Linked DNA regions of Oreochromis niloticus. The protein of the gene in region 1 interacts with the protein of each later gene in a pairwise test. Links are inferred from orthologs where the notes say so. Each region holds a gene or a part of one and is shown on either strand. Other genes may lie near its edges.

Region 1 (11,414 bases):
CTAAAAAAGAAAAAAGGAAAGAAAAAGTCAGGAGATTATCTGTGTCATAGTGATTCATCCTCCTGGAAACATGAATGTACACTTTTGTAGCAATTCAACCTACAGTTGTTCAGATTTGTCACTTTCAACCAAAATGATGACCAGGATTTTTTACCTACAGCATTTTTTATTCATCATTCAACTGCCCAAGTTCTTCGTTTATAGGTCCAGGTGTTTATCCTGTGGCTGAACCCCCATGGATTATTCATCCCCTTTGGATTGTTTTCTTATTTCACTCATCACTGTCACTCCTTGTTAAATCTCAAGACTAATGACACATGGCAGCACATTAACGATTTCTGCCCATCACAACTATAAGAGCAGCAGGATTTCCTGAAAATTACCCTGAACCCCAAACTCCTCAACTTTCATTTCCTCCTGCTTTTTCTTTTTCTTTTTTTTGTCATCACAGTCAGATCCAGTGTATAAGTGCATTTCAGAGCAGCTGGGTTTGAAGTGCCTTGCTCAAGGTCATGCTGACAGTTAATGCTGAGGCAGTCGACAGCATGTCTCCTTTACTTTATGCACTCAGATTTCGAAGCTTACCAGGGGATTTAAACTGATGGCTTTCCAGTTTCAAGTCTATAGTCAAGTCTGTTACTGTGACTCAGCAAAACACTGTGAACGATTTATGAATAGGAAGGTTATAGATTAGTTAAATGTGCTGAACTGAGAAGTGCACTGTCATCATTGTTGCATCACTGCAAGACATCAATCTACAATAAAGGTGAAGAGAGGACAAATGGGATCAATAATATAAGAAGGATGTTTTTGCTTGATTAGTGTGCCATCAGATGGGTGAAAATTTTGACTCGAGATCATCTCAGTAATTACTTTGCTGTAGTGTGTTACACCAGATGGAGTCATGCGGTGTCAGTGAATACTGCATTTCTTCTAAATGAAAGAGAAATCCACTAACAGTAAGATCTGAGTGTAGTTTATGTCGTTGCTTGATGGCAGATTTATTTCTGGACACTACACTGTTTCTGTTCTGCATTCTGCATTCGCCCTCAATCTGTAGCCCCCCTGTGTTTTCTGGATACCCACCTGTCTCTCAGTGACTTGACCACTTTGGGCCTGGTCTGCCAGCTTGTGGACATCTGTTTACTTCCTCCTCCATCAGTCGTCATGGTTGCAAACCCCCCTACAATCACCACCACGCACCCCCACCCTTGCCATCGGCCCTTCTCCGCCCTTCTCTCGTGTTTCCCCCAGACACCAGCTGTGAACCACTTATGCTTATCCTGCAGTCCACCTCGTTCAGCCTTGTGATAAGGACAGCAAGGACAGTAGTGCTTCTGGCCAGTGTGCTTTGCTCTAAGTTTGTTGACCCAGAAATATCTAAATAAACACACTAAAATTCAGTGTGTCCATGTAGATGTATAAAAACAAATTAGGTATCGGAAATTGTACCTGTGGTTAAATAGTAAAGAGATAGGCAAATATAGTCTTGAATTCTTCCTTGTTATTTGTTTACCACACTGGTGACCAACTAGAATGACCTTCAGAACTTTCTAGTTGCCATCCATATATCCTTTTTTTTATGGATGCCATTTCATCTTTTTTTTTTATTGTGTTGGGAGGTTTCCATCTCCATTTCTCTCCAGGAAAAACACTGACAAAATATGAGCAGACAACAAGAGAGAAGCTGTCAGATGTATTCAATGTGAAACACTTCCTCTTAACACTGGATTTAGTCATGTCACAGCAGCTTAAAACTCTGCGTTATTTTATAGCACTTAACACAACGCAGTGAAAAGGGAACCAAAGTGATTTGATTGTCAAAAAACAAATAACTGGATGGGATTTTCAATTAGAATTTCCCAATCAGCTAGTAAGTTATAGCATATGACCTATTAGGAGTAAAGGGAGAACAGAATGGGCCCAGGTATTGAACCCTGAGGGACGCCACATGAGGTGATGGCTGAAGATGACACACTGAAATAAAAATAATTCAAGGCAGGAGTGGTTTCTCCCACCCACTGATTTAACTTGTGAATTATTTAGCTTCAATACTGGAATCAAGTGTTAGATTAAGACGATGGAGCAGCCTTGTGAGTCAGACTCTAAATGAAGAAACCAACTGGAATTTTTCCAACATAGTATAACTTTGGGGCCCATTTTTAAAAAATAATATTCAAGTGTCAGACAGCCAGACAGACATTGATTTAATAGCCAAAAAATGGAATTATGTGACCAGATTTGGAAAGTCGCTGAGTACATGTTCACTTTTGGCATGTGGCTCTGTGTGACACAGCACCCAGCTGAGAGCCAAAAAACCCAAATCTGCTTTCTCCCCATATGCCCACAACCGAATAAACCACCTCCTGCACTGCCGCTTTCTCCTCTATCCTCTTTGTCAGACTGCAGGCAGTGGCCCACAGCCCTTGGGGAGCTCACTGAGGGAGGTGTGGCGCAGCCAGTGATCAGAGTGAATTAGAGTTATGTGTGACATGCAAAGGAGAGGCTCCAGAATGTGACAACAGCTGAGTTTTAAAGTGAAGCCTTTTCCGCCTGAGGGGAGAGGAATAGACGACAAAGACACCGAAGCCTGCTGTGAGAAGAGTCAACTTCTTTTGTTGGCTCTTTAAAAAAACAGAGACCTGTTATTCATTTGTCTTTTCATTTAACACAGTGGGGTACTTAACAATGTTTTTTTGCATCAATTTTAACATGGCTGCCACAGTATAAAAAAAGCCATCCTTATTTCCAGGCCTAATTAACATCCTGATGCCTTGAGCAGTTAAATTCCCACATGCAAACATGCACATAAATGTCTAATCGAGTCAGAATCTACATAAAAAGGCTGAAATCTGAATCTACAAAATTTGACAGTACTCTATGTAAAACTGATTATAACTCACTTTCTATCTACATCCAAAATCCAGTGCAAGTTAGACTGAAAGAACACACTCAGTTGCCTTTTAAAGTATAAAATGGAATAAAATAACCCAAGATTTGATAACTCGTGAGCAGAACAGGGTTTGAAAAACATAACTTTGGGACATTTGGGCTCATAAAGAAGAAAATATGGTGTAGGAGCGCTCAGACTGATATTTAGTGAACCTTGAGGTGTTAAAAATTTAGTGCTGTTCAGGCATTATTGCAAAAATGCCATTCGTGGAACTCTATACGCTTGTTTTGTGGCCTGCTTTTGAGCCCCAGAAGTCATTTCTGGTCCATAAATTTCAGAACAATGGTGCACATTTGTTATGTGAAGTTTGGCTTGAAATTACATTTATTCCTGTTGGGAGTATTATGTGACAACTCTAAAGCGCTGCAGCTCACCTTTCCCCTGTTTATGGTGTTAGCTATGAAGCCTCTACTAGGCCAACAGAGTTTTCAGTGATATTGATACGGCACTAACATAACTGGCACAAAGATTTGTAAAAAAAAAAATCATAGCAAGTTTCATAGCCACAAGGGTTAAAACTGTTTACTTGCCAACTAATATCATTGTGAAACAGAGTGGCTTTGTCCACTGTTCACCCCCCCCCCCAAAAAAGAAAAAACTTAAAGGAAGTCTTTTTAATCGGAGTATAGCATCAATTCAGTTAAACTTGTAGGATACTAATCTGATCAGTGAAGTAGCAAATAGTAGCAAAAAGGGTTGTTAATCAGTTTCAGCTGCTTTGGTTGGAATCAAGGGGCAACAATGAGACAACCTCCAAAACAGGAATAGTTTTACAGCTGGAGGGCACTGACATTTTTCTCTCCTCATCTTTTCTGATTGATTTTTTACTAGTTTTGCATTTGGTTAAGGTGGGTGTGTCACTGCTGATAGCATGAGGCGGAACCTGGACCCTACAGAGATTGCACAGGTAATTCAACTCCTCCAGGATGGCACATCAATACGTGCCAGAATGTGTGCTGTGTCTCCAGGCACAGTCTGAAGAACATGGAGACAGACAGTTTTTGTAGGAGAGCTGGACAGGGCCAGAGAAGGTCCTTAACCCATCATCAACAGGACTGGGATCTGCTCCTTTGTGCAAGGAGGAATAGGATGAACATTGCCAGTTCTACAAAATGACCTCAAGAAGGCCGCTAGTGTGAATGTCCTGACCAAACAATCAGAAACAGACTACACGAGGGTGGCCTGAGAGGCTGACTCTAGTGTTCCCTGTGCTCACTGCCCAGAATACCAGAATTGGCAGGTCCACCACTGGTGTTGTGTATTTTTCACGGATGAGCTGGTTCACCCTGAGCACATGTGACAAAAGTGAAAGGGTCTAGAGAAGCTGTGGAGAACGCTATGTCACCTGTAACATCGTTCAGCATGACCGGTTTGGTGGTGGTCAATGATGGTCTGGGGATGCATATCCATAGAGCGATGCACATAACTCTAAAGGCTAGGCATCAGCATCCTGACTGCAATTAAGCATCAGGATGAAATCCTTGGACCTATTTTCAGACTTTACAATGGTGCAGTCAGTTCTGGGTTTCTCCTGGTCCATAAAAATGCCGGCCCTCAAGTGGTGAGAGTATCCAGGCAGTTTCTAGAGGAGGAAGGAAATGACACCACTGACTGGTTTCCATGCTCGCCTGACCTAAATCCAATAGAACACCTCCGGGACGTCATGGTTAGTTTGCCAACAGGTTGCACCTTAGAGCTCAGTGATGCCCTGATCCAGATCCACGAGGAGATCAATCAGGATACCATTAATTGTCAACTTAGGAGCATGATGTTACCAGGCATGCGTACATGACAATGTCAGGAAGGCCGTACAAACTCCTGAGTACCATTTTTGAGTTGTTGCAATGACATTTCTGCAATATGGACTAGCCTTCTGCTCTGTGCAATGTCTTTGAAATCAGCCCTCTGTAGGTTGATCATTTTCATTTCCATCAAACCATGTGGCATCCTTTCATTCCTAACACATTACCAAGTACACATCACTACAGATATACAGCATGATTTTTCCCACTGAGATCAGATGCAGTTTCAAAGTGTTCCTTTAATTTTAATTTTTTTAATTTTTTTGTTGTCGAGCAGCATAGTAACTGCTTTCTGCAGCATGAGTTCCTCTTTGTGTGACATCTTTAAAACGACAGCATTTCTGTGTAACATTACATCGTACAAACTGCCTCATAAGCAAAATCAAACTTTTGTTCCATTAGGGTCAACGTACCCATTATCAGGTATTTTATTTTTCCTGTTACCACTAAGTGCAAACACGCAACTGAAAAGTAGAATTCAAGTCAGAAAACAATCACCTTCCATTGAAGCTGTGGGAAATGTTCACAATGCACATGTTCTGCAAGAAAGCAAGCTGGCTGAATGCAAGCCGCCCTTTTGAACATGGGCAGACGTGATGTTTAATCAACTTCTGGGATACTAATATACAGTTCACTGACAATGAAATCCTCCTTTAGGAGAAGACACACACACAAAAAAGCCAAATACAATCACCGCGAGTTAGTCAAGCTTTTATCTGCTCCTAACAAAGAGCTCCACCAGACCAAAGGCATCAGACTGTGGTTTGTCTGAAAGGGACGCACTCGTGATGTCTTAGCTTCAGCGAGCTCTCACAGTTCACTCACAGAAAGCCACAATCTTCAAAATAAAACAAATAGCTGAAATTCTTACAGGAAAAAATAAAATAAAAAAGAATAAATGTTCTTCTCCCATCTTAACAGAAAGATCTGCCTCACACTCACACATCACATGATAAAAGCCGCTTTCATCTTTCAACCATGACTTGTAAATAATCCCCACCTTTAATTCTTGCTCATTTGCTCGTTAGGGCTACCTTTGGTGACCCTGATGGGAGCTCCACCCCAGCCCACACTGACTGGCACCTACAGTTTTTTTCCTCAGTGGGCGGGTCCACTGCTCTTTAGGACCCAGTGGCTGCTCGATTCAAGCAAGGAGTGACTCCGGCACTCAGACGGAAACAGACAAAGGCGAGGGGAGAGACGGCGTGCCGCTATCCTGCAGCATCGACTCACACTCACATCCACTCCCCCACACACTCCGCAATCAGCGACGCAGGTGAGTCCGCTACTGGGTGGGATAATCAGCAGACTTCAGTGATTTTTAAAGAAAGTATATATTACATTGCAGTGGTTTTGACTCTCAGGGGGCAACTTTGAATATCATTGTAGTATTTTATTTTTTTGCATTTTGGAAGTGATTATATCAGACTTTTTTCTTTTTAGATTTAGGCTTGAGCAGGTGGATTGTGGCGTGCGCACGCCCAACCCTCCCCTTTTATTTCAAGAAAAACTTGCATTTTAAGCTGCTGTCTCTGCCATGTGGCCACACTCCATCCATCATAAATGAAAAGAGTAGTGTCATGAAACTTTTCCTTTCATGGCTCTTATTTTTCTTTCTTTTCTCTCTCTCTCTCTCTTTTTTTTTTTTATACCTACCTTTCCGTGTGTTGGTGTGAGACATACCGCACGCAGATCAATTTTCCTGACGCGGACTGGAGAGTCATAATGTGGTGCTGGTTTGTCAGGAGTGTGGTGTGCGTGTGTGTGTGTGTGTGTGTGTGTGTGTGTGTGTGGGTGGGTGGCTCAGTCAGGAACACAGAACCAGACAAATATATCAATGACACCACACAATGATACCGCAGTGCTGCCTGATGTCCAGGTCTGCGCTTAATTTGGATGTGGGGAAAGCGCGCATATTTTAAACCAGATTTATTGATTAATAACGTCAAGTGTGTGAGCCACAAAGAGAGGTGATCTTTAAACAGTCGTGTCGAGATTAACACTAAAAAGCTGTGGGAGGATGTAGTTTCTGGACTTGAGCAGGAGAATGAGCCGGCTGCAGCAGGAGCAGCAGTGATGGTGATGTCACTCTGAAGGCAGGCACCCTGTTTGAGACAATGGACTGTCCTAGTGGTTGCTTTTCTGGGGAAGGGTCACTGCTCGCTCTGCTTATTAGTGCAGCAGATGGGCTTGAAACCTGGCCTTTGTCAGCTGAGGGGCACCCAGTAAACAGAAGTCCCTCCCCTGTCAGTGTGCTTATCATAAAACACCAGTCAGCAGATCAGCCAAAGGTTAGTATGCTTGGTGGAAAGGGGGGGGTCGACCTGCCACATAGATGGGTGGTGATTTGCCCCCCCCCCCCCCCCCCCCCCCCGTTTGTCAGTATGGTTATGCTGTAATCGCATACATCATATGTGGTACTGAAAGAGGCAGGATATTGGAGGATTATGGGCTGTGACATTGTGTCATTCACTAGTTTGTGTTTATGTTTTGACTAATTGGTTTAGACCTTCTTAACATTAGCACCAGGGCTGGATATATGCTTGCAATCAATATCACAGCACAACAGCTTGTTGTTTAAAGGTGGGGCCTCAAATTTTTATTATTTTCCAAGCAGCTTCTTCTTCTTTTTTTTTTCTTCTTCATTTTCATATAACCATATCGGGTCTACTGAAAGCAGAAAACCGTGTTTTTTGTACATCAGATGACTCGCATGTGAAGAAGGAAGTGAAAAGCTTTGTTTTAGTTTGAGAATTTTGCAAAACAATGACACTTAAAATTTCACATCCTACACACATCCACTGAAACACTCCCTGATGATTTGAAAGACCCCCGCCTCATATTACGGTGCAAGATTGACTTCCAGTGGCAGATGCCAAATGAATTCTGTCTTCAGTGACTTGAAAAATTTCAAAGTCAAATCTTGAGTTGTTAAAATGCCACTCGGAGTGGAGTTGTGTTCAAAGACCAGTGACCTTTCAGTCAATAATGACAAGGCCTGTGAAGATATCGGGGCCTGTAGAAGTGACAGAAAAGTGACACTTCACATTTGTGCTATTCGGCTCAGTCTCGTCAAATATGTTTTTAAAAAGAACAATCTCTTTTAAAGTTTAAAGTGGGGAGACATTGCTCATGGAGCGGGGCTTTAAACTTTGCACTTCCCCTTTCATGTGAATGGGTGTGGGCGTTTGATGGGTGTGTGTGTCAGTTGTTGAAAAAGTATCAGTTTGAAAGATGCCCTTCAATGAGTTTTTGTGGCTTTGGCGAGTTTATTTGTGGTCATCAGGTGGGAGGTTAACTAGCAGACTACTTCTTTTGCTATAAAACCTTGGGCAGTCAAACTCATAGAATAAGTGGTTTATTGTCCATTGGCTAAGCAGGTGCGTCATTTTCAGAATTTCTAAGAAACACGACGGGGGGATGAAGTCCTAGAAAACTTAAACTTCTGCTTCCTTTTTCTTTCAAATTATGAGCGAATCCTTAAGGAGACATGTGTCCTTAAGTGTTCTGTAGGATGTTTAATGCTTAATATACAGTATATATGTGCTAGAGCTGTAATTGAGGTCTAATATGTCTATTTGTTACAGATTATAATTTTTTTTTTAAATTCTTCACAGCTTAGTTTTAAAGTGTTGTAAATTTTCTAATGCCCTTATCTGCGATTTTATTTTAAAATTGTGCTTTCGTTTACTTTACCATTTCAGAAGTAGCTTATAAAACTAATATGCTTATAAATAGCAGTACTCTAAGTTTTCCCTGACTTGTGCGCAATAGCACTACTGCACACCTACTGTATAATTTCCTTGATTGCGTCGTTTAAATGATCTCAGATATCTAACGGGACAATATACAAGTTGACATCATCATTATTTCCAAAACCTTTTGTGTTAGTGGTTAGCTTACTGATTCATCACTTACTGATTCATCTGGCCAAGTGAGACAGCTGCACAGAGGTGTCTGTAGGCGGACTTCAGAAGAAGAGAGGGAGCTATCATATGTGCTACATGCCACATAAAGCAGTGTGGTTCTAACAGTCATGAAGTACTGCTGCACACTCATTGCATCTGGAGCATTTTAGGGTCATATTATTTTATGTGTTTAAATTCAAAGAGTCTTTATTAAAAGTCACGTGTTGCATGCATTTTTAAAATGTTAATGCATTCGTGGCAAAGATTTAGCTCGACATGCAGTATGGATTGATGACCAGCGGTTTTAGTACGTGTAGCTTTAAATGCACCGGTTTGCCGCTGCCCACGCCTCTTTCAGGAAGAATGGTGTGCCGGCTGTTGCCATGGATACCTTAGCTAAAACAAGGCAGTACCAATATGGCTGCTATGCAATTAATTTAAGTGAATGTGAGAAAGCGTCCCGTTGCTGTTGTGTCTGAGTGACTATTTTCTGTGTAAATATAACCTGCAGCTGTCTCTGAATTATTTGCATTGTTTTTTTTTTTTTCTTTTAGATATCATGATTAAATCTGAGTTTTAGCTGCACACAGTGCCAGCTTTGGAAATGCCTTATAAATGACAGCTGGTTAACATGAAGCCTTAATGGGCTCCATGTGTCATAATGATGTAATGCTCATTATGTTGTTTAACTACAAAAAAAGAAAATGATTTAAATGAGAGCAGCTTTATTGAAATAGTTGATGTGAGGACAGTCTAGGAGAGAAGAAAATGGAGGCAAACATTAGCCTGTTAGCTGTGCTCCCTGCTAACAGTGGGATAAATACAGGGGCATGAACGTTGCTACCAAGATGTCATGCATTAGTTTCTCAAATCCCATTTTGAAGCCTCAGTATTATTGTTTCCGCCTTCACCATCTTGGTTGCAAAAAATGGATGTGACAAGGAGGAGCAGATTAGATTGTGAAACTATATGGTCCTTGGCTAACGATTTGTAATTAAAAACGGACTTCATTTTTCTTTTCTTTTTTAATTTGGTATGACCCCAAATGAGTGTCTAACCCATAAATTCATAGGAAAGTGTTGATAGAGGTGAAGTCAGAAAGCTGTTTTCTCAAGTCTTTTTGCAACAACAATTATCACCTGGTGGCATTCCAGTCTGCATCGGCATATTTTTCTTTTCTTCATTTCTTATAAAACATATCCATGTTTTTATACCGTCTTTATATTGGATACATGTTTTTATACTGCATAAATATCAGGGGAATTAAAAATGGCAAATCCACTGGGTGTTAAGTTCCTCAGATGCCATGAGTGCACACATACTCCTTGTCTAAGAAGAAAACAATTAATGGGCAGTGCCAGGGCAGCACTGTACAAATTTAAGTTCAGTGACTATTGGTTTCCAGTTTTAATATTAGCGATATAATTGGCTAATCGTCTTAATCTCACTCCTGTGCCTAATCCTCACCTAGCTCTGGATTTTGGATTATTTAGACGCAGATTTATGAATAAGTCACAATCATGGAATTAAATGTTGCTCTAAGTGAAATGTCATGAATATACAACCATTAACTACCGCAGTATCTGGTGATACATTACAAGCACTTGTTTCCTTCTTTCCCTAGACTCTCTGGAGCTGGTCACCACCCCAACACATCTGTCACAACCACCATAACTTTCAGTCATCATGGAGCTAGACTTTGGACATTTTGACGAGCGAGACAAGGCCTCTCGTACCCCACGGGGCGGGCGTATGAATGGACTCCCCAGCCCTACTCACAGCGCCCACTGCAGCTTCTACCGCACACGCACTCTGCAGGCCCTCACCAATGAGAAGAAAGCCAAAAAGGTGCGCTTCTACCGCAACGGAGACCGCTTCTTCAAAGGCATCGTGTACGCGGTAGCCAACGACCGATTCCGCACCTTTGATGCTCTCCTGGCCGACTTGACGCGCTCGCTGTCCGACCACATCAATTTGCCACAGGGTGTGCGCTTCATCTTCACTATTGATGGTGCACGCAAGATCACAACCTTGGATGACCTAGAGGAAGGTAAGAATGTTCCAGCAGGACCAAGCAAATGTGTAGTATATGATTTAACACCATGAAATATTGTTGCATTGTAAGGTTTTGGTAAAGGTAGAACCGCTGTGAAAAGGTGGGCCATCAAGATACCCTACAGTTTCAATCCAGTTTTGCTGAGAGGTATTAGAAACATAAAACTTGCAGTTTTTTGAGATTACAAGTCTAATCTGTTCAGTCTAGACTTCTCTAATCTCCCATATGATGTATTAAATTCTTATCTAAAGAGTTGTGTTGATGCAGTTGACTGACATCGGTCTACTTTTTGGTAGTTGGGCAGTTTTGTTTGACTGAAGTTGTTTAAAACATTTTTTTTTTTCTTTTGACAAAGGCAAAAAAAAATCGAGAGAAATGGGGCAGTGCAGTGAAAGAGCCAGTCTGTTTTAAACATCCACATGCATGCTCTTTCCTTTTTAAATGTAAATTGTATTTTAGCATCTTGCTGTTGGGGAATTCCTGTTGCAGCTAATAAAGCTGAAAGTGGGTCTTCTGGCTTGATCTTAATGGGATTCAGTGTTGAGTTTAGACTCTCAGAGGGCTTCCTTCTGTACTTTAAAGTTGGATCTCTACACTCAGCATGAGAGAGCAGTTTGTTAATTGAAATCATTAGGATCTTATCATTAAAGAAACCACCAGCCACATTTCTTTATGCATATTTATTAAACCTTTCC
Region 2 (12,307 bases), on another chromosome or scaffold:
GCGCAATCGTGTCCAACCCTCACAAGGCTGTGGGATCGCCGTGCTAGGGCCAGTTAAAGGTGTTGTCCATGACAACATCTTGTTCCAGGGTCACCGTGACAACAGAAAAGCGTTGCTACATATGGATCCTGGCAATGAGAGCTGTGTGCTGCGGAACAATAGCATTCTAAGGCATGATGACAGGTAATCAGTCGGCCCATTAAAAACTGGCAGACATTCAGTAGACCAGGGATCTCCAACTCCAGGCCTCGAGGGCCGGTGTCCTGCAGGTTTTAGATATGATTAGTTCATTACCAGCCTCTGGAGAACTTCAACACAAGTTGAGGAGGTAATTTAGCCATTTGAATCAGCTGTGTTGGATCAAGGACACATCTAAAACCTGCAGGACACCGGCCCTCGAGGCCTGGAGTTGGAGACCCCTGCAGTAGACCATCAGTGGAATTAGTGTTGTCACTTTCTATCGCTTCTGCTGTCTGCGCAGTGTCTGTAATAAATAGTAAGTGATCTGAGTAAAAAAATTACTCAGATCTGCAGGTTAACTTAAAGAACTTTTTGAGGTCATTGCTTTTAGTAGGAAAGCAGTGGCTCCGCTGTGTAGTGATCACATTTTCCTTACATGTGAAATGATCCCCCAGTTCAAGACCTAGGGCCCAACCTCAGAGGTTAGAAGATGGCGTACTTGGTGAAGTACTAAGGAAGGGCATCTAAATATCAGGATACCGCTTGAATCAGTTGCTGCTGCCTCATCTTATTAACTTGAGTTCTGCGTTTGGCTCCTTAGAAGTTCTTAGTCCTTGGTTCTTTACCGTGTTGGTAAACACACCACACTAGTTTTTTGTTGTTGTTTTTTTACTGGTTTTATTACCTCAGTGGAAAGCAGTGCTTGTTTTTTGTAATCACATTCCCTCTCTATTCATTTGCTTTGCTGGGCTGGACCCATACGTGTACTGCTACAGTTTACTCTAATAGCAACGTTTTTGAATGAAGCAGTTTTTATGAGAAGAAAAAGCTCTAAAAATTCACTGTGTGCCATTTGCTCAGAATTGTATAACAATCAGTCAGTGACAGCTAGCTAGTGGCATGATTTGCAGCTTAAAAGTTATTTCCCTCAGGAGCTGGTGAAGATGAAAATGGTTTAAAAAACAAATAGGGGTGGGGTGAAAAATAATCTTAAAGGGCATCTCCTAATTGTTGCTTACCCTTTTTCCTCTCTTCATTTCATAGCTGTACATCTGTTCCCCCCTGGGTTATGGAAAACCCTCCTCCTCGCCCACTGGCCAGCTCCCCTGCAGGTCTCTCTTCATCCCAGTATCCCTCTGGACTTGGAATTTCCGTGACCACCAGGATCGGCGCAACTGTGGAAAGTGGTTGCCACAGCGGCAGCATGTTTTGCAGCATTCTGTGAATACTGGCAAGAACTTACAAACCAATATGATAGCCAGGGTCAGGAGGTCAGCATCTGGTTGCTCCTTAACTGCTGTAAACCATACACGTGGGGCACTGACTGTCAAAATAAGGGTTCGGTTAATTGTCCAAGTAGCTGGAGACCGCAACTGAAACATTAAAGGAGCCATCCACCCCCATTTTTATTAAGATGGAAGAAGACTTTGAAAATCTGAAATTAGACTTTTGTACTTCTATGATTAAAATGCTACTGTGCTCATAAAACGTGGGCTATTGAAAACCGAAGCTGGAGTACAAGACATTCATACACCTTTGGAATCTGTTTGAGACTAGAGCTTTGCCTAGTTTATCATTAGCTCATTTACTGCAGACTTGTTTGGTAGTCTTATTTTTGCTTATAGGGACTCGCTGGTTAGGAAGTGCACATTTCTAAATCCTAGCAGGAGTCAAAGGCTTCAGAAATGCTGGCTTTGACAGTGGGTCAAAGTAAAGCTGTGCCTTGGTTGACTATTTAAGGGATGGCTGTAGCGAGGGAAGGTGTTTTCATAGCGTGAGGGCGTTTATGCAACTAAGCCAAAACTAAGATTCTGTCTCTGTCCTGTCTGTTGGCGGGTCTCTTCTTGCGTAATGTCCTTTGTGGTTTTTAAAACTTAATGCACTTCGCTTTTTGAGACATCTCATTATTTCAGATCCTGTCAACATGCTGCAGAGAAAACTAAACAGATATCTGCATATGATTATGCAAAAAAAAAAAAAACTGTTGGTAGTCTAAGCTTTATAGTTCCATTTGTAGTCCACCTGCACTTAAGTTCGACCAACCAATCACATTTGATGGTTTGCATTTGCCGAAATATAATCTCACAACCATCCACTATTGTCTGATGACAGTTTAGCTTTTTTAACAGCTTATTTAATTTGTCTGCATTTGTAAAAAAAAAAAAAAAAAAAAAAAAAAAGCCAAAAAAAAGAGACCAGCAGACAGAAGAGGAAGTCCGTTATCAAGATATCCTGTCCACACACTCAGAAGGGGAAGATATGTAGTGTGCAATATGTGATGTCTACAAACGTGCCTATACGTTCCTGCTAGATGTTCTGTCATCTAGAATTTGTTTACAGCTCTTTAGTCTTTTTTTTTTTATCTTTAAATGTAAGCTTGTCACGTTCGACTTGAAGTTCACTTTATTTGTCTACAAAAGCATTAATAAACAAGCCTTGTTTAATGCAGCCATTTGTTTGATATTCATTTCTTTCTGTCCAGTTCTCGGTTCTCCTTTGCGTCCTCAGTGCATCTTTTTGCGTTTCCGTCTCTCAGTGAAGTGATCGTATTTGATCAGAGGCAGAACGAGGGCGGCCAGTCTGCTGTCATCTTGTAGTTCAATGTTATCACCCTTGCCTCGGGCTGGTTTCACCAAGGTCAGTCTCATTGACTTTGCGACTTCAGTCATCCTATAGGAGAGCACAAGAATCACAATAGTTTACAGTTTAAACAAAAACTACAGAGTAAAGAAGGAGGATAGTAGTATGTGTGGTTAAGTCCACATTATTGACTTCATTAATGATTTTACTCTTTATTTAAACAATGTATGAAATGTAAGAAATAATTTTTAAAGGCTTCCTTTTTATTCCCCTGCTTACCTTGCCTCAGTGATTCCCAGGTCACGATGCAGTAATGTGAGGTCAGCTGTCATGTTACCCATATGCAGCAGCAGAGCTAAGCAGTATGCTGCTAGTTTGACCCGCATTGACGATGACACCATGTTCTGGATTCTAAACAGAAAAGTTAAAGTAAAGAAAGTGCATCTTTTGAAAAGAATCAGTGCAGCAACAAATACACTGTTGTGGTCAGATGTTTACATAAGCTCATCATGGCCATGAATGTCTGCCATAAATAATTTGGCGATTTTTTTTTTTTTTTTTTTTTTTTTTTCATTATTTATTTGAACTGTTTTCCAGAGTGAAATGATAGTAAAGCATGCACCTTTAATAACTTATAGTTAAACAAAAATTAGGTGCACAAGTTTAAATTTATTTGGGATTTTCTGAAATCCACATAGGTCAAATGTATGCATACAGATTCAAATACATACACACACACACACACATCCCCACTAATATTTGGTTAATGTCCCTTAGTAAGTTGTACTAATATGAGATTTTTTTTGGCAGCCCTCAAGAAGCTTCTGGTGTAATTCTGGCTGAATATTTGACCACTCTTTTTGGTAGAATTGGTAAAGTTCATTTAACTTTGTTAGTTGCCTGGCTTTAAAGCACACTGAACAAATTTAAACAGGGTGAGTTGGGGGTTTTTTTGTTTTTTTGAAAGGCAATTCCAGAGGCTTAATGTTAGCCTGCTTTATTCATTCTAAAACCAGTTTTAATGTGTGTTTGGGGCTTCTTTGTTGGTTGGCACCCTCTCAGTCCATGGCAATGAAAAAGGTGCTTCACTGTGGACAGTGATGCTGGTGTTCCAGCGGTTTCCAGTTCATGGCAGGCTTAAGCCATGGTGGTTTCTGGGTTGTTCCTGACTGTCCTAGCCCACCTTCTCTCCTATGAGGGTGACATTTTTGGAAAAGTGATGACATATCAGCTGTTTAAACTGATGATGTTGGAATCTGTAGTTCTTTCGAGGGTGTCCAAGAAACTACAGTTCTCTTTCTTAGATCTTCAATTAGTTTCTTGGACTTTTGTATTATTCTGAGTATTATTCAATCCAGTTGGTGCTATCAAACAAACCCTTCTTATGCTGCAAAGAGAAACTAAAAGATGTAGTCAATCATGACCACTATCGAGAAGCTAATAGGCCTTAACTTTGTTAAAATACATTGTAGAACCTTTAACAACACTTACTAAATTATTTAAGTGAGTGTATCTAGGTGTATGCTGTACAATCATTCCACGCTGAGAAAAGAACAGTTAAAAGAAGTAACTGGAAAAAGTTGCATTTCCTGGGAAAATGCAGTGTGAATGGCGTGTAGTGGAATCTGCTGAAAACAGCAGAAGAAGCAGAACTATCTGCTGAAAAGAGTTGTAGAAGCTGAAGTGCTTGCTGAATTTGAAAGGGTACAGTGAAGAGTGTCAAGAAAGCTGAGTGCATGCAAGCGGGGGAACATGTGTGGCAACCGCCACAGGTAGGATTTGAACCTTCGCCACCGGATCTCATAGCAGCTGCTCATCCCACTGAGCTAAACCAGTTCTAGTGCCAATCAGAGATATAATGAGAAAAACAATGTGCACTGTGCAGAAGAAGCTGAACTTTGTGCTGAAAAGAGGTGAAGAAACTGAAATTTGTGCTTAAAAGAGGTGAAGAAGCTGAACTTTCTGCTGAAAAGAGGCGAAGAAGCTGAATGTTCAGCAAAAAAGAGATGAAAAAAATGAAATTTGTGCTGAAGAGGTGAAGACACTGAAAACTGTTTTGAAAAGAGTTAAAACAGTTGAACTGTTTACTGAATAAAATGCTGCCATAAGCGGGATTTGACCCGGCCCTCCTGGTCTGAGAACGGCTGCTCATCTCACTGAGCCAAAACATGGCTCAGCCCGGCAAGCAAAACTGGTGATCACACTGATAATGTGGTCCCATTCAGCAAAATGGGCCAAAAAATGGCATAAAAAGCTTAATATCTCAAAAAGTATAAAAGTTATGAGCACCAAAAGATATAGCTGGCATTAGCAGAAAGAGCAGAACAGTTGGAAATTTGAATGGTGAAAATCAGATGAAAACTGAGGGAGTAATTAACCAGCAAAGGTCGGAGCAACTAGAATAAGGTAGAGGAATAAAGTTTAAAGAGAAACAGGATCTCAATAGTGTGAATGCCTCACACAATTAAAAGCCCAAAATTACCACGACATTCATGCTCATGATGAGTGTATGTAAACTTCTTAGAACTGTATATATTATTTAGCTTCCCTGTCTCGGTTTAGCATTTGGTAAATTTTTGAATTACTAATGAAATTATTAATTTAGTGAAACAAAATCAAATTCCAGAAACATTTTTCTTCATTAGCTACATGTGTTTAACCACCATACCTGCCATTGTTGAAGGTCTCCACGGTGAACGTTTTAAAGAGTTTGCCCTGGATGATGCGAGGGCAGCCTTCCTCTTGCCCAACTGTACATGCAAACATGAATTACTACAACCCTCTAATGGTGAAAGTTTGTATACCACTTTCCACATCATAATACTAACAAAATTCACTCACACTTGCGGGTGATGTTCCTCTCCCGAGCCAGTTTGAGGAGCAGAGAGAGGTAGAAAGCACAGCGTGCTGTTTTGTCTCGGCTTTCACTTTCAGTTGGCAGATTCTCTAGATGCTTCACAATACTCAGGCACCTTTAGGTTAAAGATAAAAAGCACAAGATCAACCTCAAGTGCAAGAACACATTAATAAAATGTCTCTGAAGGTTTTGTTGCCCCTACCTTCCATCATCTTTCATCTTCTTCAGCTCTTCGGGGGTGAGTGCTGCCATTTTGGCACCACCCTGCTCCAAAGCACCAAACTCCACTGGGCTCAAGACTGCAGATATTCGGTTAAGGGTCACCTGAACAAAGTCTGGTACAGCTCTAGATAAAAACCTGCAAACACATGCATACGCTAGTACCCCATCTTGTAATCTGGGATTCAAATGGATTCCTTGCCTTCCTATTTCCATAAACACATTCCTCCTCCAGCACAGGAATAAAAGATACGCTCATCAAATGGATAGACGTCCTCTCGTTTGTCTGCGTTTGCATTGCAGGGGGGAAGGTGCAGAGCCAGGTCTCCTTGCGACTCTGCGTCAGCCACTTCTTGCTGCAAAGCTGTGCAGAGAGGGAAGGTTAAGAAAAAAAAACATGGAAAGAGAAACATTCTTTCGGATTTCTCCGAAGAGAGGCATCCACTGTGCAGCTTACCTTCCAGACCCTTCTCGCCAATCACAGTGTTGGCAGCCTTTGCCACTGCTTGCTGAAGGGTTTCACTGCCCACCTGATTCAGCCTGCGAGAGCTCAGAGCTCTCTTCTGCTTGTTGGTACCAAAGGCCTCAATCAATAAGTCAACCTGAAAGGGAAACATTAAAGGTAATAACAGGATATTCACATCACATTACACATAATTAAGCACAGATGTCTTTTAATGGACAGACAGCAGCAGCAAATGCACCTTTTCTCTGTAGGTCTGAGTAGTGTCCTGGGGTTTTGCACTGTCTGTTGTCTCTCCTGGTGACAAAAGTCATAAAAAGCGACTCTCAGAAGGCACACAAAGCATTCCTTCCACAGCTTCTGGTCTTTGTGGGCAGTTAAAAATAGCAACAGATATGTTATAGCTCTCTTACCTGGTATAACTGGTTGCATGTTGAACAGCTGAGCTTCGTGCACCTCCATCGTCATGGTCTGCTTGTTCAGCACGCCCACATAATATCTAAAGAGATGCCAAACATCCTCCTTATCAATCTCCTCCTCGGTGACCATAACATGCCAAAATGTGCAGCAAAGACCTACTTGCAAAGATTATTGCACTTCATGGACCCCACTCCAAAGTTCTGCCCCACATAGGACAGTCTGTCTGACTCGGCAACCTAAATAAAATAAACCAGGAAGAACACTGAGAGTATACCAACACAGCCCGGAGAGTGCAGACACACTCCTCATCTTCCTCACCAGTATCCGCCTGGTCTTTTTCCTGGGGTTACTTTCCTCCGTGTTCTTCAACATGCTGAAATCCAGCTTGTCTGCATTTTGGACGCTGCCGTTAGAAAAGCGGACTGTGGGATTGAGACAGAAACACCGGGAATTATACGTGATCAAACCTCAATGACCGATGTGACTGTACAGTGACACACGTGAGAGCCTCGGACACAACAACACGGTATAGTGCCCACGTGTGCACCTAAATGCTTTAAAAATATAAACTCTACAAAGCCCAACCCAGAGTCATGTGTCATCATCATCATCCCCGTGAAAAATTCTACATAATAAACAAATGAGGAATACTCACCGACGACAGCTTTATCGGCTTCTCTCTCCTCTCCGCAGCACACAAACGAGCAGGAGGCGGCCATGACTGTTGTCATGATGAGTTTTCATGCAGGGCAAGAGTTTACTCCTCTGTACTTCCGTGTTCGCTTCGCCAAGCCGCTGCTCTAATTTCTCCAGTTTTGTTGTGGATACTTTACCTGGTGCATTTCTTTATTTTGCCTGTACTGTTCCTTCTGCCATGTCTTTGTTCACTGGATTATAGGATTATCCTTTATACGGGCTTTAAAAAAATAAAAATGCCAAAGCATTTACCATCTCGATGCTGTTTATAATCTTTGGCTAACTGGTTGTGTGTGGGGATGCAGCAGCGACACCTTGTGGTGAAACCGTAAAGCTGCAGCTTTTCACCTCGGGTGAGGTCATGGACGCGAAAAAGAGGTACAGCGCCGCCCCGTGAGTCTGGTTGGAAAAACCGTCTGTCGGCGGGGGGAAATATTAGAAAACACAACACAGCATGACGCTACCGCTTACCAATTGATAGAAGGCATTAATATTATTCTAACGGTTATTCTGGCGCCGTGGCTGTGTGCTCAGCCTGGCAGGCGCTGGAGATCAACGGACACCGCGGCACCGTCCATCGCGGCCAGCTTTACGTTCCCACGGCCAAAACCAAACGAGCCGCTTCGGGGTCAAACCGTCAGGAAGTCGACCGCAGGGGGACGCGAGAGGTAGCAGCGGAAATGTTAGCTATCCACAGCTCGGCTTGAGGGGACATTTTGTGGGCCAGTCTCGGTGACCGCATGCCGCTGCTTTTACTCTAGCTAACGGGCTATTTGCTGGGCTGCAGCCAGCTAACTTTAGCTAATCGGGGCCCTGTTCTCCCTCTCGATACCTGCATTTTCCGGATTTTTCAAGGTAACCTAAAGTACTGCTGGCTCTCTGCTCTGACTTACAGTACCAGCAGACTGCTTCTTTTGTGCCATTTTACCGAGTCGCATCCCATGCTATTGTGTTCCAGTGCAGTTGTGACGTTAAATGTGTGTAAAGACGATGGGGTCCAATAAAGTTAGACCTGTTCGTCAATATATGACTTTATAGCAAGAAGGCAAAGGCAGTGGAAAACGCAACATTTGGTGCACAGTAATCAGTAAGCGAAATAAAATGACAGTACCACGGCATCCTGGCTGTTAGCCAGTAAATACAAAAACTGATCCAACTTCTCCCCCATCACCATTCAGACATCGTAGACTGCATCCACAGGTACTCAGAAATGTAGAAATACACATACTTGTTTCCAAAAATAATGAAGTGCTGCATTCAGACTCCGAAATACAGTGAAAATGAGCTATTTGGAGGACATTTCTATCAGCTGTTTTGTGCAAAGCTAACTTAACTTCATTAATAATATAAGAATAAAACAATATTATGGGAGTTCAAACATTAATTCAGCCCAAATTCAGATGCAAACTGATGCAAATGAGCATAATCGTGGGTTTAAGTTTGACTCGAGTAGGTGTGAGATCTCTAGTTTTGTAGTGCAGCATCACTTGGAAGTAATTTTTATTGTAAGCACAATGAAATTTTCTTTGTTTTCGGGCTGGGATCAGCTGACCTGAGTTGCTGCTCTTGTTGGCTGTCAGGGCAGATTTCTGACACCCCTACACACTATAAAGGTGGAATTCAGTGAATTAATCTCCTTAGTATAACTTTAAATTGACATGTTTCCTTGTTACAGTGACCATAAACGCCACATCTGTAAACTTCTCCACAGTACCGCAGATTAACTGGTTTACCCTGCCATACACTGCCTTTTCATGCAACCTTGGAATAGCAAAAAGTTAGTATACACTTAACATAAGCGACACATCAGGTATAGATCTGGTATCAGTTCACAAGTGTCTAAAATGAATGAGGATGTTATGTTTCAGCTTTAACTTCCCAGTCGGTTAAATGTCACGGAGCAGTCCTTACCTTTTAAAATCTAACCTCTCTCCATCCTCTCCTGTCTTACTTCGATAAATAAACTTTTTTTTTTTAACATTTTGAAGTGTGACAAGTGTTGAAGTGACACATATTGTGATTTATCACTTTGTCCCCAATTGTTTTATCCAGTAAGATAACTTCATCTTACTTAAGTTTTTTATTCTTTTTTTAATGCATAATGGATTGTCAAGCAAGCAAGCTGCAGTCAGTGTGCTACTGAATGGGGTCAAGTTGGCAACTACATACAGTCTGTTTCTTGTAATACAGCAATTAACTTAGAACTATTGGTTTGGGCATTATGATGATAAGGGTAAGAGTACGTAGGGGCAGTAAACTGAATTTCCCAATTTGTGGAAGAACAGTGAAGTTTGAAAAGCTCCAGGTCGCTGCTGATTGGTCAGATGCAGTGACATCAGTAGATCACCTGATCTTTGCTAACTGACTGTGGTTCTGCATAACTCACCTACCCTCTGCTCCTCTGTCTGCAGGGCCATGGATTTCCCAGGCCATTTTGAGCAGATCTTCCAGCAGCTGAACTATCAGCGTGTCCATGGCCAGCTTTGCGACTGTGTCATCGTGGTAGGCAGCCGACACTTTAAAGCCCACCGCTCCGTGCTGGCGGCCTGCAGCACCCACTTCAGAGCGCTGTTCACTGTCGCAGAGGGAGATGCTAGCATGAACATGATCCAGCTGGACAGCGAGGTTAGAAAGAAAACGCTGTCAAAAAAGCGAAAAAAGTGTTTTTAGTCATTCTAATGGTGATTGAAACCACTGTGTGCGTTCTGCAGGTGGTGACGGCCGAGGCCTTTGCCGCTCTCGTGGACATGATGTACACGTCGACACTGATGCTCGGGGAGAGCAATGTCATGGATGTTCTCCTCGCAGCTTCGCATCTGCACCTCAACAATGTGGTCAAGGCTTGCAAACACTACCTGACAACACGCACGCTGCCCATGTCCCCCTCATCCGACAGAGCTGCCCATCACCACCCACAGCAGGAGCAGCAGAGGCACAGACAGCAGCAGCATCAGCAAGTAGCTGATTTAGCAGTGAACCCGACATTAGCAGCTAATGCTAACCTTGCAGCAAATGCTGCCACTTCAAAGCTGCAGCGCTCCTTCTTACTGCAGCAGCTGGGGCTCAGCTTGGTGAGCTCTGCTTTGGGTGGGATGGAAGACGACCGGGCGGGAAATGTAGTTGGCAGTAGGGTGGTTGACCAGAGGGCCTCCTTCCCAATCCGACGCTTCCACAAACGAAAGCCCTCTCTGGCGTTGGGGCTTTCAGAGGAGAGACCCAGACAGAGACAGCGTCCTTCGGCGCCTAACCTCGGGTTGTTAGGAGAAGAAGGGGTGAACGCAGAGCGGGAGGATGGAGCACTTCTCTCCCCAGATTCCCACAAGATGGGGGACGAATCTAAACTTGACCCTGCGATCACTGGGTTAGCAGCTGCTTCCCAAGATGACCCTCAGATGCCGAGTCAGTCAGATAGTGGACGCTGCGAGGAGGAGAACTTGGGGAGAATTCAAGGAGTAAACAAAGAAGAGGACATGGATGACCAGGATCAGCAGGACAGCAGAGCAGGGGTGAAAATAAAATCAGGAACAGAGGAGGAGGAGAACGAAGAAGAGGAGCAGAAGGTAAAGCTACAGATTTGTCTCTTCAGTGGGCAGGAATATTTCCATAGATAAAACTCTCCAGACCTCTCAGGCTTGTCTGTATGAAGTAAACAAACTTAACAGAAATTGTTGGTTTGAATGTCATTAATGCAACCAGGGGTTAAGGGATTGGACAGAAGAGGGAAGTCATAAGATCGGGTGTAGCAATGCAGCAGGGGAAAATGACTCACTTAGAAAAGAGTCACACATAATTTCTGTTCTGAGGATTTGATTTCCTTGCGGATGGACTGTGACAGCTGACCTGTGCTGGCTCTGAGGTTCACTGGTCTTTGTGGGTTTTGCTTGCTGCAATTTACGAGATATTAACAGATGTTACATGAGCTGTCGTGGCCACTCTCCAACCTTTGGGCGGTGTAATGTCTAAAGGTGGAGATTGGCAGGTGAAGGGTAGTAAAGAATGTCATCAACTTAAATTCAAACTAATGACTATTACCCTGAAGCCTTGATTACATTTTCCGCATCTACTTGGATCCAACAGACATAAATTTGACCAGCGTTTTTGTGGCCTCGTTAACTAATGTGCAGATAATTGACATTACAGTCCATGAACTACACACACACCCCAGGCAGAAGAGTTCAAGCAGACTTCAAAGAAGTATAAACAGGAGGGACAACTCGGCCATCGAGTTTCTAGCTGTCATAACCAGTCCTAACAGTGATCGTGAACACCCATCCTGCACTTCATTACTGTAAACTGTACCACAGCACTGCAGAGTACCTACTTTAGCCTGAAAAGACTGTCCAGTATAGATTTTAAATAACCCCAAATTGTCATTTAACAGTATGGAATGATTAAATAAGTCAAATAAGGACAGATTATAACAATAATTCCAAGTTTTGAATATCTATATCAAGTGTCAATTGTAAGGTTGTCACGGTACTAGAATTCCACACTACTGATACCAATCATCAGAACACTACTCGAAGCTCCATACTATTGTCGATACCACCCACCCACACGCACACACACACACACACACACACACACACACACACACTCTGCAGCAGTAGCAGTAATGGCGAAGAAGCCATTTCTTGCAAAAGTTAACTTGTTAATTTTCCACTAAGTATTTCCAATTATAGGTTAGAGTTAGAAAAAAGTATTTATGATTAACTTTAGAGGTTTTATTCGTTTTACAACTTATATAGAGGAATTTATCACCATGGCTTAATACGCCACCCTGGACCTGCAAATTACTGTTACAGCTGCTAAGACGACACACGTCAACAAAGTAGCATCGCACTGTGACAGAAGAATGGGGAAATGGTTGGATGTTAACTCTTTATTTCGAA

Evidence for each region.
Region 2: the proteins of neuronal migration protein doublecortin (region 1) and zbtb5 interact in binary tests that used the Homo sapiens proteins (3 or more experiments, as listed by UniProt). The two-hybrid records come from large-scale screens. The link is inferred for Oreochromis niloticus from reciprocal best matches to the Homo sapiens genes DCX and ZBTB5.

The regions. Positions count from the first base shown.
Region 1 is NC_031975.2:12,237,771-12,249,184, forward strand, and holds the start of neuronal migration protein doublecortin, read left to right. Parts: upstream 1-5,878; 5' UTR 5,879-6,031; intron 6,032-10,287; 5' UTR 10,288-10,349; coding exon 10,350-10,713; intron 10,714-11,414. UniProt on the Homo sapiens protein: Microtubule-associated protein required for initial steps of neuronal dispersion and cortex lamination during cerebral cortex development. May act by competing with the putative neuronal protein kinase DCLK1 in binding to a target protein.
Region 2 is NC_031971.2:22,562,957-22,575,263, reverse strand, and holds the start of zbtb5 (zinc finger and BTB domain-containing protein 5), read left to right. Parts: upstream 1-7,747; 5' UTR 7,748-7,776; coding exon 7,777-7,808; intron 7,809-8,133; exon of another isoform or gene 8,134-8,270; intron 8,271-9,826; coding exon 9,827-10,040; intron 10,041-10,126; coding exon 10,127-10,987; intron 10,988-12,307. Other genes in the region: fbxo10 (F-box only protein 10), read left to right, coding at 1-183, 1,225-1,405; polr1e (DNA-directed RNA polymerase I subunit RPA49), read right to left, coding at 2,685-2,850, 3,040-3,171, 5,429-5,510, 5,602-5,732, 5,820-5,916, 6,090-6,200, 6,294-6,438, 6,541-6,596 and 4 more. UniProt on the Homo sapiens protein: May be involved in transcriptional regulation.